2 linked regions of the Caenorhabditis elegans genome follow. Each later gene encodes a partner of the first gene's protein in a complex. Each region holds a gene or a part of one and is shown in the gene's direction. Other genes may lie near its edges.

The links. The genes of interacting proteins can lie anywhere in the genome.
Region 2: pat-2 (region 1) and unc-112 share a complex: the UniProt entries of both Caenorhabditis elegans proteins name them as parts of the integrin containing attachment complex.

What each region holds. Positions count from the first base shown.
Region 1 is NC_003281.10:8,815,817-8,826,146, forward strand, and holds pat-2 (Integrin alpha pat-2), read left to right. Parts: upstream 1-3,082; 5' UTR 3,083-3,085; coding exon 3,086-3,258; intron 3,259-3,305; coding exon 3,306-3,543; intron 3,544-3,589; coding exon 3,590-3,713; intron 3,714-4,030; coding exon 4,031-4,442; intron 4,443-4,505; coding exon 4,506-4,735; intron 4,736-4,984; coding exon 4,985-5,460; intron 5,461-5,516; coding exon 5,517-5,653; intron 5,654-5,745; exon of another isoform or gene 5,746-5,837; intron 5,838-5,877; coding exon 5,878-6,072; intron 6,073-6,546; coding exon 6,547-7,258; intron 7,259-7,715; coding exon 7,716-8,552; intron 8,553-9,015; coding exon 9,016-9,162; 3' UTR 9,163-9,458; downstream 9,459-10,330. Other genes in the region: F54F2.9 (DnaJ homolog subfamily C member 1), read right to left, coding at 9,539-9,647, 9,791-10,100, 10,161-10,330. UniProt on the Caenorhabditis elegans protein: Required for muscle development probably through the regulation of the actin-myosin cytoskeleton. Component of an integrin containing attachment complex, which is required for muscle maintenance.
Region 2 is NC_003283.11:14,691,355-14,699,569, reverse strand, and holds unc-112 (Protein unc-112), read left to right. Parts: upstream 1-2,915; 5' UTR 2,916-2,940; coding exon 2,941-3,023; intron 3,024-3,441; coding exon 3,442-3,506; intron 3,507-4,500; coding exon 4,501-4,768; intron 4,769-5,007; coding exon 5,008-6,185; intron 6,186-6,255; coding exon 6,256-6,659; intron 6,660-7,253; coding exon 7,254-7,418; 3' UTR 7,419-7,708; downstream 7,709-8,215. Other genes in the region: set-5 (SET domain-containing protein), read right to left, coding at 34-600; gasr-8 (uncharacterized protein), read right to left, coding at 7,709-7,909. UniProt on the Caenorhabditis elegans protein: Component of an integrin containing attachment complex, which is required for muscle development and maintenance. Probable regulator of cell-extracellular matrix adhesion. Required during initial muscle assembly to form dense bodies and M-lines.

The sequences.
Region 1 (10,330 bases):
CTGGTGTTAGAGCATCGCGGTCATCCAAGTGATCTGCCGAGTCGAAGAGCCCTCGGGAAGAGAGCCCAATAAACAGTGTGTAGCAATGCGAGAGAGTATGAGCAGGCAGAATATCAACGATGTAAAGAAGGCAACTGCTTCTTCTTCTGCTGCTCCTGCCATCTCGCATCCTCCCCCGTGTGCCGTCGTCCCGTAGAGCACTTTATCCAGTCTCTCAACTTTCCGTTTTCTCTTCTTTTTATGATTTTTGATATTGATCTCATTGAATTTTTCTACAATTTTGCATATCGAGTTGTGAAATCTCAAAAAGTGGGAACTCATTATTTAAAAAAAAAACACAATAGCTACAGTAACCGTAGCTTCGTAGATTTTTTTCTCAGGGGATTAAAGCTTTTTAAAAAATTATTTAGGAGAATCTTTTTAGAGGACTGTACAATCGAACAGTTCTCAACATAAATCGACAACATAATTTGCTCAGTTCTGAGTGAAGAAATCATACGTAAAACTTGAAGTTTTAAGGTTCTTCGTAGGCCCTTATTTACGTCTATTATTCAAACCCTTCTTGACATTTTTTTCCAATAATAATAGGCTATCCCGCTGTTTTCTGAATTAAAAAGTATCAAGTAATCATCAAATGTTTTTCAAAAATCAAATAAAATATTGTGTAAAAACCAAGCTCTTATCTGATTTCAGACAAAAATTTGGCATTTCTATACTAAATTATAAATCCATCTAAAAAATTCCAACACCCAGCTTCTTCAGTAATTTTCCTGCAAAGAGTATATTGTTCATTTTCGACACTCTGAATATTCTCTGTCTCACCGAATGTCTCACATTCTTCTTTCAACAAAAAAAATTGTTCTCGCTCGAATGCATCATTGAGAATTCACTACCAACGGCGAGACCCCTATTCTTTCTTCAAAAAGTGTGCTCCATGAGCACCTGCACCACCTGCTCTTGGGATTCTTTGATTTATTATTCCTGGATTTGGAAATGAAATTTCTGGAAATTGTTTTATTGACTAAGATCGTATAATTCGCACAATTAAGTACTTTATTATAATAGTAAAATGCTTGGTTTTAACATTGATACCTTTGTGCGTCGCCGATTTGAATTCTATAAATGTTCGACTTTCCTATGATTGCAATTCTTGACAATCAAAAAGAATGATCGGTAATAAATATTTAATTGTTTTAGGTTGTAATGAAACGGTAATGTTCACCATGTATTAGTTGAAAAGCTATTATGAAGATTATTAATCTTTATAGAAGGGATTATGATTTTTTTGTTGCTTAGTTAGTCAACGTTACTTTTCACAAATGACCCATCAATTTAAGATTCTTTTTTCAAAACCTACCTCCTAATTTAACTTCCCTTAAATCTTGTCGACATCTTTTTTTTCCAAAAATTCATTTTCCTCCTAACCACCCAATTAATTCATCCTCCCCCCGTTCCCTCAATTTATCACTTGTTCCTCTCTATTCAAAACATGACCTTTTTGTCGGAGAGGGAACAGTCACCAGTCAACCATATCTTGGATTCTACTGACAATTACTTCATGCCCACATCCCAATACTCTCTATTACATGAACTTTTCACCAATATATAAAATGTTGTTCGTATACTGATGGGCTTCAAGTAGGCGTGATTTTTAAAACACATACTACAAATATTGGAGAAAGTGCCGTATTTGTTCTATTAGTATTGGTGCAATACGTTTTTGACCACAATATTTATGTACTTGAATTAACTAGATTTCACTGTGAAAACTGAAACTTTAAAAACTTTAAAATCTGTGGCAACTTATTGTCGAATTTTGGCAGGAAGTTTCCCTGATATTCCAAGTAGGTTCAAAAATTGAATTCAATTATCAAATTTTGGTCTGGTCAGATTGAACGTCTACTATTATAATAATTTTGCAAGTTTTTCAAAATATTAGAAAATCTCTTTGGTGTTTCAAAAATAGTAACTGCATATCTACTTGATTCCAAACTAATTGCTTCTCGTGTCCCCAAATAAGTGGTGCCTCTTCCTCCGCCCCCTTCCATCCTCCCAATTTCATCCTCAATTCATGCTTCCATCAATGTCTACGTCTCTTCGTCTCTCACACTCTCTCACCATTAGACATATGTTTGATAACTATCCGGAAACTGAAGAAACTATGTGTCCCTTCCTCCCTTCTCTATTTCAAACGACTCTTGACTCATCGTATTTTTCGGAAATTCATGGGATAACTATGAGTCTCCAGATGCCAGTTTTGTTTCGGAATTTCCTTTTTGTACGTTTTTCACAAACTTCGAATTTCTGATTTTTAACTCGTAGTCCAGCCAATATTCTGAATATTTTGAGGGTTCTCCGGTAATTTTAAAGATTTTCGAATGAGTACAACTCAAAAGCTAGAGGTTCCAGCAAACAACTTTCAACAGTCAAAACATTTTGAAATAGTTCAATTGAGCATTTGAGAAAATATTGTTGTTGGCTCTCGCTCAATACACAACAAATATTGAGATTTATGCAAAATTCGAATTGCTCCTTACTTTGCTTCTTCATCAATCTTGCTCCACGTGTCACGGGTCATTTTGTTCCCCCGTTAATTTCCGTTCGCTCACTTCTCCTGTTCGTTCAATTCATTTCTTGATATGTTCATGACTCAATGTGAGTGTGTCAAATGCTCGTAGAGCTCCCTTCTCAATTATAAATGACTTGTCGTCTTCGGAGGGTCAGTTCTTTGTTTCGCAATCGCGTGTGCTCTGTTCAATTCCATTTTTCCTTCCTTCCGGTTTTTGGAAAAGACACCGATTAGGCTTCATTGATCCACATGTTAACTGAGAATTTGAAATTATCTCAGTGAAATTGGTCGCTACTTTGAATTTAATTCATTTAGACATGAAAAACGTTCCAAAATTAAAATTCAAGCAAAGTTCTTTATTTTCCCTTTCAAAAATATTTCTTGGAACTTTTGAATTTGAGATTTTGAAATTTTTTTTCTATTCAATCAACTTCTAAAATCGTTTCATCTTCCGTATACTCGTTGCAAACTTCTTTCTGATTGTTTTCAAAAAACCGAATTCCAAATTTCCAGTAGATGCGAGAGGGTAGTTTTCCGCGAAGGATCGGCTTGCTTCTAGGCTTACTGGGCCTTTTAGCCGGAGTTGCCACCTTCAACATCGACACAAAAAATGTAGTGGTTCATCACATGGCTGGTAACTACTTTGGATACTCACTCGATTTTTACCATGAGCAGAAGGGAATGCCTGTGTAAGTTATTGAATTAACTGAACAGATTTTACATTCAAAAATTTCAGCCTCGTTGTCGGTGCCCCTGAAGCTGAAAGCAATAACCCAAACCTGGCTGGAATCCGAAGACCTGGAGCAGTTTATGCTTGCTCCGTGAACCGGGCAACATGCCGAGAAGTCCACGTGGATAAAATGAAGGGAAACTTGAAGAAACTCAATGGATCACATCTTGTTCCAATTGAAGAAAAATCACATCAATTCTTTGGTGCAACTGTTCGATCAAATGATAAGCATGATAAAATTGTGGTAGGTTTATTCTGCGGAGTTTGAAAATTAAAAATTAAATTTCCAGGTGTGTGCTCCAAAATACACATATTTCTACTCAAAATTCGAAGTTATTGAGCCAGTTGGAACCTGTTTCTATGCTGAAAATGGATTTGATAATGCGGAGGAGTTTTCATCGTGCAAACAAGAACGTATGTTTTGGGGATACTTAATTGGTACTGCAGGGGTACTGTAGTTTTGGAAAAAGGAGTTCGAGAAAAGAAAGTTCTGGGAAGTTCTAGAAACTTCTGAAAATTTTGAGGAATTGCAGGAATATTTTAATAGTTTGAAAAGTTTCTGCAACCCTCAAGACACTGTTAAAAACGTCTTAAAATTTTGAGATTTTTTTGGAAAATTCTAGAAACTTCTAGAGGCTCCTGAAAAAAATCTGAAAATTGTTGAACCTTTTGGAATAGTTCAGAGTTCGAACAATTGGTAACTTTATAAAAAATTAGATGAAAAATTACAGCTGCTCGCCACGGTCGTCATCGTCTTGGATACGGTCAGTGCGGATTCTCGGCTGCAGTTCCAGGAAAGAAGAATCAAAATCGTGTTTTTATTGGAGCCCCCGGTGTGTGGTATTGGCAAGGAGCAATGTTCTCACAGAACATCAAAAATCAGACAGACCGCCCGAATACCGAGTACGGTAGCAAGGAATACGATCACGATATGATGGGATATTCTACAGCAACTGGAGATTTTGATGGAGATGGTATTGATGATATTGTTGCCGGAGTTCCACGTGGAAACGATTTGCACGGAAAATTGGTGTTATACACGTCGAAACTGAAGATGATGATCAATTTGACTGATGAGGTGTCAACTCAACATGGACAATATTGTGGAGGATCTGTTGCAGTTGCTGATGTAAATAAAGATGGGTAAGTGAGATTCACAAACACATAAAATTACAATTCTCTAAATATTCTCTGTATTAATTTCAGACGCGACGACATTATCATGGGCTGCCCATTCTACACAGATTACGGTAGCGTGAAAGACGCAAAAACACAAGAAAGAAAACCACAATACGATGTCGGAAAGGTCATTGTGATGCTTCAAACTGCTCCAGGAGTCTTTGGAAAACAGATTGCAGTTGTTGGAGATGATCAGTGGGGACGATTTGGACACGCAGTCGCAGCAGCTGGAGACTTGAATTTGGATGGTTATAATGGTAGGGATTTTGCTACTAAAAATGAACGAATTTGAATTTCTCACAGAAATTATTTTACGCGGAAATTCAAATTTAGTTTTCGTATTTTCACTTTTCTTTTTCTTAATTTAACAATTTCTTTAGACATAAAAAATCCTAGATTATCGGAAATTTGTGCGGCATTTTGAACTTTCAATCTCATTTGAACCGCTATGGAAATTTATTGCATTTTTTGTTGGAAATTTTAAATTACAAAATAGTGTTTTTCAGATGTAATTGTTGGTGCACCATATGCTGGAAAAAACAAACAAGGAGCTGTTTATGTGATCCACGGATCCAAAGATGGTGTTCGCGAACTACCAACTCAGAAGATCGAAGGAGCCAATATTGGTCATGGAAATATCAAATCATTTGGCTTCTCCCTTACTGGAAACGAAGATGTTGATGGAAATGGAATGCCAGACATTGCAGTTGGAGCATGGAAATCTGGAAATGCAGCTGTTTTACTCACAAAACCAGTTGTCACTGTCACGGGACAAACTGAACCAGAGAGTGCATTGATCAGTGTAGAAGATAAGAATTGCGATGTTGATGGAAAATTGGGAAAACAGGCATGCAAACATATTAATACATGTTTCAAATATGAAGGAAAAGGAGATACACCAAATGATTTGGAATTTGATCTTCGATTCAATCTTGATGATCATTCTCCTGAACCAAGAGCTTATTTCTTGCAAAAAGATGTGGTAGGTCACTTTTTTAAAACTAGATAAAAATTTTTAACACAATAATAATATTTCAGAAATCTGACAGAAGCATTAAAGTTGCACAAGGATCTAAAACAAGAGACCATCCATCTTCAATCGAACAACGTGTTCGTCTTGAGAAGGGACGACAAAAGTGTTTCAGACATCGATTCTTTGCTTCTTCCACAATGAAGTGAGTTTTCAGAGAAAATATTTTGATTTTCTTTCAAAGTTTTTCAACTCAAAATGACCACAACTTTTTAAATTTTTTTATCAGAAAAAATTGAGAAAATGTTTGCTCTGCTGTGAAAAAAAGTTCAAGGCTAATTTTTGAATGTAAAATAGTTCGTATGCTTTGCAAACCTTCAAATTAGAAAATAAAATGTTTTCTAAAAATCAAAAATAAAATAATTTCAGAGACAAGCTCTCCCCAATTCATTGGTCCGTCAACTACACATATGTTGAATCAAAAACCGGAAAACTTCGTGGTGATAAGCTTGAACCAGCAATTGACACAACTGTACCACTTTCATTCCAAAATAAGATTAATATTGCAAATAATTGTGGAAAAGATGATCTTTGTGTTCCTGATTTGAAGGTTACCGCTGTTGCGTAAGTTTTTTTAATTTTCAAAATGATCGATAAAAAGTGTTGAAAAAATACATTAAATATGCCATTTTTTCATTGAATATAAAAGAAAGGGAAACATTGAAAATCCTCATTACAGTAAGTTTGAAAAATTATTGAAAAAATGGGTTTGTCTCGAAATGTTTTAATCATTACTCTAATTTTAAAATTTTCAAAAAAATATAAGGAAATGAGCGAGAAAAATTGAATATAACACAAAATACAATGTAACCTAACTCGACAATTTTCAAAACATTTTTTATAATGAGACAAGTTCACAGCCATTTTTAAAATGTTTGCTTCAGGATTTTCCTGTCAAAATAATTCCACGAAGATTGTATGTTTCTTTTCTTCACGGAATCGGCGAAATTTTCAGTGAAATCATATCATTAAAATAATTATTCCTAAACCTATAAACCAAATGCCAGCAATTAAATTCTTTTAAACATATTTTTTCAGTGATCGTGAGAAATTCCTTTTGGGAACTCAAGACAATACAATGCTTATCAATGTAACAGTTCAAAATGGAGGAGAAGATTCATATGAGACAAAACTTTATTTCGATGTTCCACAAGGATTCGAATACGGTGGAATTGAAAGTGTTGGTGGAGATGGAAGCAAGTCTGCTCCAGCTTGTTCTCCAACTTCCGATGAACCAGATTCGGATGGAAAATGGACTTTTGCATGTGATCTCGGCAATCCACTTCCAGCTAACAAAGTAGTTAGTAGTGTTGTAAGAGTGACTGCTTCTTCTGATAAACCTCCACTTGCTCCAATCAGTATTAATGCTCATGTGAACAGTAGTAATGATGAAGAAGCTCATACTGTTGCTGATAATAAAGTCACATTCACTATTCCAGTTGATTTTAAGAATCAATTGAGTTTGAATGGTAGATCAAATCCCGAACAAGTCGATTTCTCAATGACGAACAAAACACGTGTAGATGCTTTCGATGACAATGAAATTGGTCCAGTTGTTTCACATCTTTATCAAATCAGTAATCGTGGTCCATCTGAGGTTGACTCAGCTACTTTGGATATCTTCTGGCCATCATTTTCCACTGAAGGAGGTCATCTTCTGTACATTATCACAGAACCAGTTGTTAATCCACCAAATAAAGGAAGATGTCGGGTCAAACAACTGCAAAATGTTAATCCATTGAATTTGAGGGTACGTTTGAATAATTTTTAAATTTCTAGACATTACTTTAAAGGTACACGCTGTTTTTCTGAGTGGGTCTTGCCACGATCTCATAGTCGTTGCAAATCCCCAATTTCTGTAGACACTGAATTTTATAACTCTGTACATTTAAAATTGCAGTGAAATACGGAAGGAACTATTTTGTTTTAGAAATAGAAGTAAGAAACTTTATCATTTTTAGGATAAAATTCAAATTTCTTGGGAAATTTTGAAGAATTGTTTTCGTCAGTTTCTGAAATGTTTAGAATCGGCGAGTTAAAAAAAAATATTGGAAACAATCGAATATGCTGAAATATCACAAAAAAAATTGATTTTCCGGTTCGGGCTGACAAACTTCACTTTTTTCAATTCAGAATCCTGAACATCTTATTTTATAAATGTTCACAAAAAATTACTGTCGCACATTAAAAACGAATTAAAATTTCAGATAACAAATGAGCATGTTCCAACTGAACCACCAGTTGCCAAGACACCAAATGAATATTCAAGAGAAGAAGATGATGAATCATATGAAGATGAAACAACAACTCAATCCCAATCAACACGTCATCAATCTACACAACATCAAACTCATCATCAATCTGGTCCAGTACATGTATACGAAAAAGACGAGGAGAAGATTCGTCAGAATACTGGAAATTGGCAATATGTTGAGGATAAAAAGAAGAAGGGAGATTATGAATATATTCCAGACGATCAGGAATATGATGGAGATGATTTTGAAGAGGAAGATGATGAAGATTTTGATAGAGCTGGAAGTAAGAGAGTTAAAAGAAATCCAACACCAAAGAAGAAGAAGAAGGGAGGAGAACACCGTGGTGAACCAAGAAGTGATAAGGCTAGATTCTCTGATCTTCGTGAAGCTGTTAAACTTTCGAAGGAAGCTGGAGGAGTTGTTGATTATAAGGGACCACTATCAAGAGCATCTGTTGATTGTAATTCATTGAGATGTACACATATTGAATGTGATATTTATGATCTTAAAGAAGACGAGTTTGTACTTGTGGAAATCTTCTCTAGATTATACACAAACACATTGGTTGATGAGAAAAATCCTGGAGGAGACATTTCATCGTTGGCTCTTGCTCGTGTCACATCTACTAAATACAATCTTCCACATAAGCCAACATTGATAACAGCAGTATCTACAAATATGAATGCAATTGCTTCTGAAGAAGGAAGAGATCTTCCTTGGTGGCTTTATCTTTTGGCTATTCTTATTGGACTTGCCATTTTGATTCTTCTTATTTTACTGCTCTGGAGGGTGAGTTTCAAATTTAATTTTCAAAAATACGATTTATTACATAACAACATAGATATTGGCTTGCAAGTTAAATTAAAGTTCTTTCGCCAACTTTCATGCTTACTTGTGACGCAGCAAAAATTATATCTTAATTTCCAATTTTGTGAAGCGGTTTCTCAAAGCCTCATTGATTTATTCGGATGGGCCTCGCCGCGAGAAAAGTTTATGGTTCAAACTCTGCCATTTTCGAAAGGTAAAAAATGATTGTCACAAAGATTAAGAAAAACTGAATTTAAAAGAAGTTGCCTACGACATTAAAGCTGTGCTCACACGCTTTCGAAAATTTCACAGCAACGTCCACGGCGAGCTTACGTCGGGGGTACTGTAGAATATAGGTAGATCAGAGCGACTACAGTATACAACCAATTTCGAAACAAATTTACAGTTTCCCTCAGAAAATAAATAATAATAATCTAATTTTCAGTGTGGTTTCTTCAAACGTAATCGTCCACCAACTGAGCATGCAGAACTCCGTGCCGACCGTCAACCAAATGCTCAATACGCTGATAGTCAATCCCGTTATACATCACAAGATCAGTACAATCAGGGACGTCACGGACAAATGCTATAATATTTTCCATTTTTTGTTCCTTATTCTTTACTATTCACATCTGCGGGTGTCTTTTTAAAATTATCATTTTGGTCCCAATTTAGTCCTCTTGTCGTGCCTTGCCCCCCAATCTTACTTTCATGTTCGATCGTTTTTCGGAATCTCCGCTCAATTTGGTGCTTTATATGTTCATATTATGTTTCTTTGTTTTCCAATTAATTACCAATACATTGACATGTTTCTAGTCGATATTTTTGATGTTTTTTCTTTTATTATCATCAATTTATTAATAAAAATTTAATAAATAAATAAATATTTAAAACGCGTCTAAAACAATAAATTTTGGAATTTCATCAAACCCGACCAACAAAAAAACGGAATAAATATTATGACAAAACTAGGTATCATTGGTTTTCTTTTTTCGAATCATCTCAGCCAATTGCTTGAATCTGACCATCACTTGTTTCTTCGTTTTGCTTCCAATTTCTTCGGAGATTCTTTCCCACCTGAAATTTAATATTTAAAACATTCCTCTGGATATTATATTATGGGGACCCAGAAATTTTACCGTCAATACCTAACGAAACCCAACGCTTGGAGGATGAGCGTTCTCAATTTCAAAATACCCATTTCTAGTTTCCAAGCTAACCTTTCATCAGTTCCCTTTGGATATTTCTGCAATGCGGTTTCAAAAGCCTTCTGCTCAGCTTGACTCCAATCATCTTCTGATTTCTCTTCAACTGGTACTGATTGTTGAATAGTTGTCATCAACAATTTCGTATAATCCTCTTGCTTCATCTGTTTCATTTTTCCAGCCATTGCAATAACGTCTTCTGCACTTCTATTCAAAACTCGACCCATTTGTTCCCAACGATTCGGTGTTCCAGCCGGGTATTTTTCAGTGCTCAGTCGAACCAGACTAGCTAATTCATCAGGCGTCCATGTTGCTCCAGATTGTTCTGAAATTAAAAGATCATTGAGTAGAGTTCAGAAACCTTTTTTCTGATAAATTAACTTACTCTGTGCTACAACTTCATTTTCTGCTGCATACTTTTTCTCCATCTCAGGATCATTTGTGGAAACTGCTTTCATACCTTGAGCCACTTCAAATTTAAACTCTAGTTGCTGGGGTGCCGCTGCTGCTCTTTGTTGCCTTCTCTGTTGAGCCAACTCCTCTTCTGTTGGTTCT
Region 2 (8,215 bases), on another chromosome or scaffold:
CAATTTTCTTAAATTCGGCACATTTCAACATACAGAGAGTTCCGGCGGTTTCCAATAACCATCATTCTGAATATACTTTCTCTTCCATTCCCGTCGACAATTCTCAGAATCCTCCAAGTGCACAGTACATTTTAATGAACAATTCAAAGGAAAGAAATCGTCATTAAAATCGATAGTAATCTCATGTCCATATGGAATGAAGTCTCTTGCTTTGATAATTATATGGAATTCTGTATTGTTTCTTTCATAACTAAGATAACTATTCGGAAAGCAGCTTCTTCGGACAAATCTTCCAGGATTATTTCCAGTCCCTCGAGCATCCAAACAGACACATCCGTATGTGAATAGAAAGTTCACATTTCGAGAATCTTCTTGAAGTTCATGATGAAATGCCAATAATCCTCGAATCCTCACAATTGGCTCGTCCGGCTCGATGTCTAGATTTGAGACGAGAGCTCTGTTGATTAAATAGGATTTCGAAATTTCGATACTGCGACACTTTTTTCCGAAACTTCGAACTTCTGTGATGGGGAATAGTGTCGGAAGCAGCTCCTCGACGTTTTTCGAAATGATTGTTGATGATTTGTTTTTCGGGTTCATTATAATGCGATCTGAATAAATTTCAAATTAATTTTGGCAATGAAAATATGGATTAAAATAGAAATAAGCCTGCAAGCATAGAGGAAACCAGATTTTCGGTTTTTTTTTTCAGAAAAATGACAAAAATTAAGCGCAGGAATGAAAATAGATGAAAAAAAACCGTTTCTTCGAACATTTGTAGAATTTGTGTTGGTTTTTTTTAAAAGGATAATGCGAAATTTTGGAGTTATATGCACTTCACTGAAAAACGGATAGTTCTAATGGGAAGGAAAATTCTTATTCGTGAAGTTATTGGGCCCATTTTCTTCAATTTGCTCGATGATTTAAGAGGCACTGAAGAAAATGCGAGGAAATTATTTTTTTTAATTGTCTGACTCTACGGATTTTTTTTTAATATCCACTATTTTTTCGGGATTTTTTTTTTGATAATTCTCTGTTTTGAACAAGATTTTATAACACAGAAACATAGGAAAATGCCGAACTTTAGCTCTGAAAACTATTAAAAGTTATTTTTATCATGAAGTACAATTTTTCACGGAGAAACCCGACACAAATAAAAGTTTTACGTGATGTTCAACGTTTAATATAAATTTTCAAACAAATAAATCGAATATTGGCCAAAAAAACTAAAGAAAACAGAGTAAAAAGTTCAAAAATAAGATTGCAATTGTTGAAAAACAATGAAAACAATTGCTCGTAAAGTTATGGCGAAGTACGCAAAAGCCTCTGCGTACTTCGCAATCTACCGTAGTCATCAATTAATTTTTTTGTCAGTCGCGCGCGACAACATGTCGTGCCGTGCCGAGAAATACTGCATAGGATATAAAAACAAAGAAACGTTAAGTGATAGCTGAAAATATCAGTTTGATTTAAATGGCTACAAGGTTATTCCTTGACACAAAAAATATCCCGTAGGGAAAACTACAGTAATTCTTTAACATCTTTAAATTTCGATTTAAATTTCGGAAACATTGATTTATCGATTGAATATTGAAATTAAGCCGAAAATTAAAAACTAATACGAGGAAACGAAGAAAAATGAATATCGATGTCACTATTCGAAAAGAAAATCATTTCAAAAATCCGTAAATCGACTAAAGCGCTACAGTAGTCATTTTAAGTATTAATATAGTTCTCGCTACGAGATATTTTGCGCACTATGCATTCTCAGAGTTTTGTGTTCCCGTATACACAGTGCTCAAATTCTTCGTCCAAAAAATTTCTGAGCTTATTTCAAGTTTGATCCAACTCTTGTTAATGTCTTATATAACTTTAAAACGATTCAAAAAACGATTAGGTCAAAAAGTTTGATTTTTAACGCCGCCAAAAAAATTTGCATACGCTTTATAAGCAACTTTTGTACCAAGTTTATATTTCTTTTGAGCCAGACTTGGACAAGAAGTTAGCATTTTGTGTCAGCGCATATTGAAATTTCACTACCATTTCTAATATACTGTAAAGGATAGTTACTTTTGTGGAAAATCTGAACTTTTATCAATTGCACCATAAAAGACGAGGTTACCAAGTGTTCACAGTATGAACTTCACACGTGGTGTTAGAGTGTCCCATTGATCTACGTAGTTCACATTGTTCACAAATGTTCACATTATCCAGATATTCTAATTCAGAAACTAGTATACACCTTTCTCCATTTCATTGCACTTCTCCATTCATACCCAACTACCCGTGATATCCTATACTTTTACTCTCTCTCTCTCATGTCCAATGTCCCTTCAGAAGCTGCTTCCTGGCATCTTCCTCCTCCTTCTTCTGCCAAATCTTTCTGCCAGCCGGGGGACGGGACTCTTTGTGTAATGTTGTCTTCTTCTTTTCCTTCATCTACAGCAGCATCGCCTACTGTCATTCCTTCCCATTCCCGCGTAGCCGCCTGCCGAGTGTCCTTCAACTCTCCGTCTCTTCTACAACTGTTCACTCTCTCTCGCTCTCTCATTGCATTTTGGAACATACAGATAGGGAGTCAGAGAGATAGAGAGTGAGAAAAGAAGCGGAGAGACGGTGTTGCTGTGAGTCAGAGACGAAGAGTGTGTACTGCTCCGGCCGTCCGTTTGTTCGTCCGCATCGGCAGTCTTTTCTCTCATTCTCTCATTCTTCAATGTTCTCTAGCCTCTTTTTTCGTTTATTTTATTCTGTATACACGTTCCTCTCTACCTGATATTCTCCCACACATAGCTTTTTTATTGATTTGTTGATTGTTGTTAAGCGGTTTTTTTTGTTTTCTATTCTATCTACCGTGGACGGAGAAAATACACTGTTTCTATAATTTGCTAATCTTTCCAACAACTAAAATATCTCAGTGGTTCTACCTAAATCACTTCAAACATGGCACATCTTGTTGAAGGAACCTCGATTATTGATGGAAAATGGCAATTGCCAATTTTGGTCACCGATTTGAATATTCAAAGGTGAGGATTTAAAATTATATATTTAGAAAATATTAACTTTCAATAGTACTGCATGTTTAGCAGTTGTTCTTAAATAACTGCAATTGCAGGAAGTTATAGAAAAAGATTCAATGCACATTTTCTGAATTCAAGTCATTTTGTCAGAATAAGTGATAATTGAGTTATTCTCGGATTGAGGTTAAGCCTAAACCAATCCTAGGCCCAAGCCTAAGTCTAAGTCTACGACTAACTATAAGAATAAGCCTAAGTCTACGCCGAAGCCTAGCCTAAGTTTAAGCTTAAGCTTAAGTTTAAGCCTTACCCTAAACCCTAGCCTAAATTTTCAGAAGATTCCGGTTAAATTTTTTTCCAAACATGAATGAGACATTTTCAAACTCAGAGTCTTCCAATTTCCAATAAATGTATTTATTTCTTCCAGAAGCATCTCTGTCCTTGGAAATCTTAATGTGGGAGGACTCATGCTCGAACTTGTTAGCGAATGCGGTGAGTTTTTTTTTCGAATCTTATCACCTCGGTCAAGATCTCAAAGATCTCAATAGACCATGATTTCTCTCTTTTCTACTCAATATAATCTGTTAGATATATCTGCCACTGTGTGCGCCTACGCGTTTGTTACAACGAAAAGATACGTGGTGTGTGCACCATTACGAAATGATGTTCAATATCAGTAAAAATTGAAGGCATGGGAAAATGTTGAAATCTGCTGGAAAAAAATGTTCTGGAAAGATAGGGAACACTTTTGGAAACACATCGTAACGGAGCCCTTGAAGAGTGCGCCAAGTGAAAAATTTCTCGTACAATTCTTTCAAGTTTGCTGAAAATTCGTATTTTGAATAAAACAGTTTAATTAAAAAGTTAATTTTTGAGAGATCTTCACGAAATTTTTTAGGGACTGTGAGCTCCGAAATAGTTGACAAGAAGTCCTCTATACATTTTGAAACATCATAGAAACTATGCGGAACCTATCAAATATTTATGGGCTCTTCTCATCTCCTACCAGTTGCTCTTCTCTTTCTTCTTTTTCTTTTCATCCTAACCCCTGTTAATGTTGACTATTCGAGTGCACGCGTGCGCATCTACATAAGCTGATTGTTTCGGATGGGACATTCGCTGTTGGGTACATAAAGTTTAGAGGCTTTCCTTGCAGAGATATAAGAGCACACAATGATAGGGGGTCCCAGGAGAGAGTATCAAAACTTGAGAAGCAACTGGCATTCATCATGACCAAGAGCAGAAAGGGCGCATAGGAGAGGCGCATAAAAACGTTTTGGAATTAAGTTTTCGCGCGATTTTTAGAACTTGCAGAAGCTGAAGGGATGAAGATTTTCTGCATTAGGGTATAACAATTTGTGTGCTCAATGTGTTTAATTTCCAAGTTCAAAATGTAATCATTTGGGCTTCAGCTGAACAAACAATTTACAAAACAGCTGTATTGAAACAAGAATCTAAAAAACTCCAAATATTTCTATTTTTCCAGATGTTGAACGAGATTGGTCTGATCATGCTCTGTGGTGGCCGGAGAAGCGGCGATGGCTTCAACATACTCGATCGACTCTTGACCAGAATGGAATTACAGCTGAAACACAATTGGAGTTCACACCAATGCATAAAGAAGCAAGAATTCAGTTACCAGATATGCAAATGATTGATGCGAGAGTTGATTTCTCGGTAAATTCATTCAAAGCAACAAAGAAATTGTGCCGTGATTTGGGTATTCGATATTCAGAGGAATTGTCTTTGAAGAGGTAAGTAGGAATTGGGAAGTTTTTGATGTTTTATTTTTAATTTAAATAAGAATGGAGTTGTGAAATTCCTTAGTTGGTTGAACGAGGATTGAAGATCCTTGGGAATCTTAAGCAACTAGGGAAAATCTATGCCTGATCGAAATCCTGCCCCAAAAGTTTGAGCAAGGTCAAAAGTTAACTACTACCGAGCATGTGAAATAACCCAATAATTCAAAATCATATAATTTAAAATATTACAGATATATTCCACCAGAGGATCTTCGACGTGGAACATCTGACGCCGACAACATGAACGGTCCACTCTCAATGCGTCCAGGAGAAGAATCAGTTGGACCAATGACTCTCCGTAAAGCTGCTCCAATCTTTGCTTCTCAATCGAATCTTGATATGCGCCGTCGTGGTCAATCACCCGCGCTCTCCCAATCTGGACACATTTTCAATGCTCACGAAATGGGAACTCTTCCTCGCCACGGAACATTGCCACGTGGTGTCAGTCCATCGCCAGGAGCATATAACGATACGATGAGAAGAACACCAATTATGCCAAGCATCAGTTTTAGTGAAGGACTTGAAAATGAGCAATTTGATGATGCTCTTATTCATTCACCAAGACTTGCTCCAAGCCGTGATACTCCAGTATTTAGACCTCAGAACTATGTGGAAAAAGCTGCGATTAATAGAGGATGGCTTGATTCTAGCAGATCACTTATGGAACAAGGAATTTTTGAAGGAGATATTATTTTACTACGATTCAAATTTATGAATTTCTTTGATTTGAATCCAAAATATGATCCAGTGAGAATTAATCAACTTTACGAGCAAGCAAAATGGAGCATTTTACTTGATGAATTCGATCACACAGAGGAAGAAGCCACACTATTTGCTGCTCTTCAACTTCAAGCAACCCTGCAAAGAGATTCTCCTGAACCTGAAGAAAATAATAAAGATGATGTGGATATTCTTTTGGACGAGCTTGAGCAAAACCTTGACGCAGCTGCTCTTAACAGACGATCAGATCTTACACAAGTTCCCGAGTTAGCAGATTATTTGAAATATATGAAACCAAAGAAATTGGCAGCATTCAAAGGATTTAAACGGGCATTCTTCTCGTTCCGTGACTTATATTTATCATATCATCAAAGCTCCTCAGATGTCAACTCAGCTCCACTTGGACACTTCTCATTGAAGGGATGTGAAGTTAGTCAGGATGTTTCAGTTGGACAGCAGAAGTATCATATCAAATTGTTACTTCCAACTGCTGAAGGAATGATTGACTTCATTTTGAAATGCGATTCCGAGCATCAATATGCCAGGTGGATGGCTGCGTGTCGGTTAGCATCCAGAGGGAAGTCAATGGCTGATTCGTCATATCAACAGGAGGTGGAGAGCATCAAAAACTTGCTCAAGATGCAAAGTGGTAAGTTGTTGATTTTACAATTTAATAAGTGATAATGAAATTATTTTCTTCGAATGAAACAATTTTTCAGGTAATGGAAACGAAAACGGAAACAGCAACACAGCTTCGCGAAAAGCCGCCGCTGTAAAACTACCAAATGATTTCAATGTTGATGAGTACATATCGTCGAAATACGTACGACGAGCACGCAGCAAGCAACAAATTCAACAGCGAGTATCAGATGCTCATGGAAATGTTCGACAACTCACGGCAACCGAAGCGAAACTTCAATATATCCGAGCATGGCAAGCACTTCCCGAACACGGAATTCATTATTTCATTGTAAGATTCCGAAATGCTAGAAAGGCGGAATTGGTGGCTGTTGCTGTGAATAGACTTGCAAAATTGAATATGGATAATGGAGAAAGTCTGAAGACATGGAGGTTTGCAAATATGAAGAAGTGGCATGTCAACTGGGAAATTCGACATCTCAAGGTTAGTTTTTGATGAATAAAATATTTAAGATCTGGACATGATCGGAAATCGAAAAATTGCAAAATGTTGAGAACGTTTTCGAGACCTATTCATCTAAGTTTCTTGTAACAACTTTCTGATTGTTAATCTATTTTGTGATGTCTTGAAATTACGTTTTCATCTCAAAATCTTTCCTAATATGTATATCTAAACACAAAGAACAATTGGCTTTCAAAAAATCTTTGTATTGTTTCAAAAATTATAATATTGCGTTTTTGATTCAATTGTTGTTTTCTATCCATAAGTCTATTCGCCGTAACTTACTAAAAAATTCAGGTCTTTGGTAATTTAAAATCTAAATCAGATAATGTTCTCAAAGACCGAAACTTTTTCGGTAAACTTGGTGCTGACAGGAAGGTAGGCAGACTTCATGCCTATTTGCCTACATGCCAGCGTTGCACCTTGAGCGTTTTAGAAATAAATTTTTAAAATCTGTTTTGTGCCTACATAAAAGGCTTAGATAAACCCGAAAATAACCGAGAACAAACTTTTTGAAATTAATTACTTTTTTTCTTTGAGTATACTATTTTATCATCCTATCTCCCCAATTTCCAGATTCAATTCGAAGATGAGGATATCGAATTCAAGCCACTTTCCGCTGATTGCAAAGTCGTTCACGAGTTCATCGGTGGATACATTTTCCTGTCAATGCGAAGCAAAGAACATTCTCAAAATCTTGATGAAGAACTTTTCCACAAACTTACAGGAGGATGGGCTTAGATATTTAAATTTCTATAATCTTTTGCAAACCAAAGAATTTTAATTTTAGGCTCCAATTCCATCTTTTTCGTTTCAAAATTTCAATATATATATTTGTTTTCTTTCATTTTTCTTGTTTCTCATTTCCCCCCTTCCCCTCTTCCAAATAATTTTTCGTTTTAATAAGACAAGTATACCGGATCGAAAAAAAGTTTTATGTGCCTTTTCATATCTATGGATTAATAATAATTGTATGAGAAAAATTGAAAAATATTATAAAAATTGAATAATAAAAACTGATGAATAAACATTTAAAATCTTCTTCCGCGTTCCTCGAGCTTTTCGAATTTTTGTTGATTGCTGATTTCTAGTCTTCCAACGTTTCGTTCAACTTCAATCAGCAACTGATCTCGCTCTTTTTCCAGTTTTTCAAATTCTCCCATCACAATATCATTGAGTTCCTTGTATTTTTCAACTTCTTTCCTCATATTCTCAACGTTTCGCATATCTCGCTGGAATAATAATCAGGAAATTATAGTCATTTTCCATCTTTTCTGGTAGTAGGCAAACGTAGGTACAAGGCAGGCAGGCACTGTTCTGCTATCTAGCTACCTACCTAACTACCTAGGAATCCTTAATCTGTTCTATTCAACCATATAAAATCAATAGTACAAAACATATCGGCAATATAAATTTGATAGAAAAAAAGCAAATAAGTTTGTATCCCGTTATTTAAAAATTTGTTTTCAAACGGATTGAAATCATGTGAAAACATGTTCAAGAAGTATCAAGAAATTTGAAACAAAATTTTCAAGCAA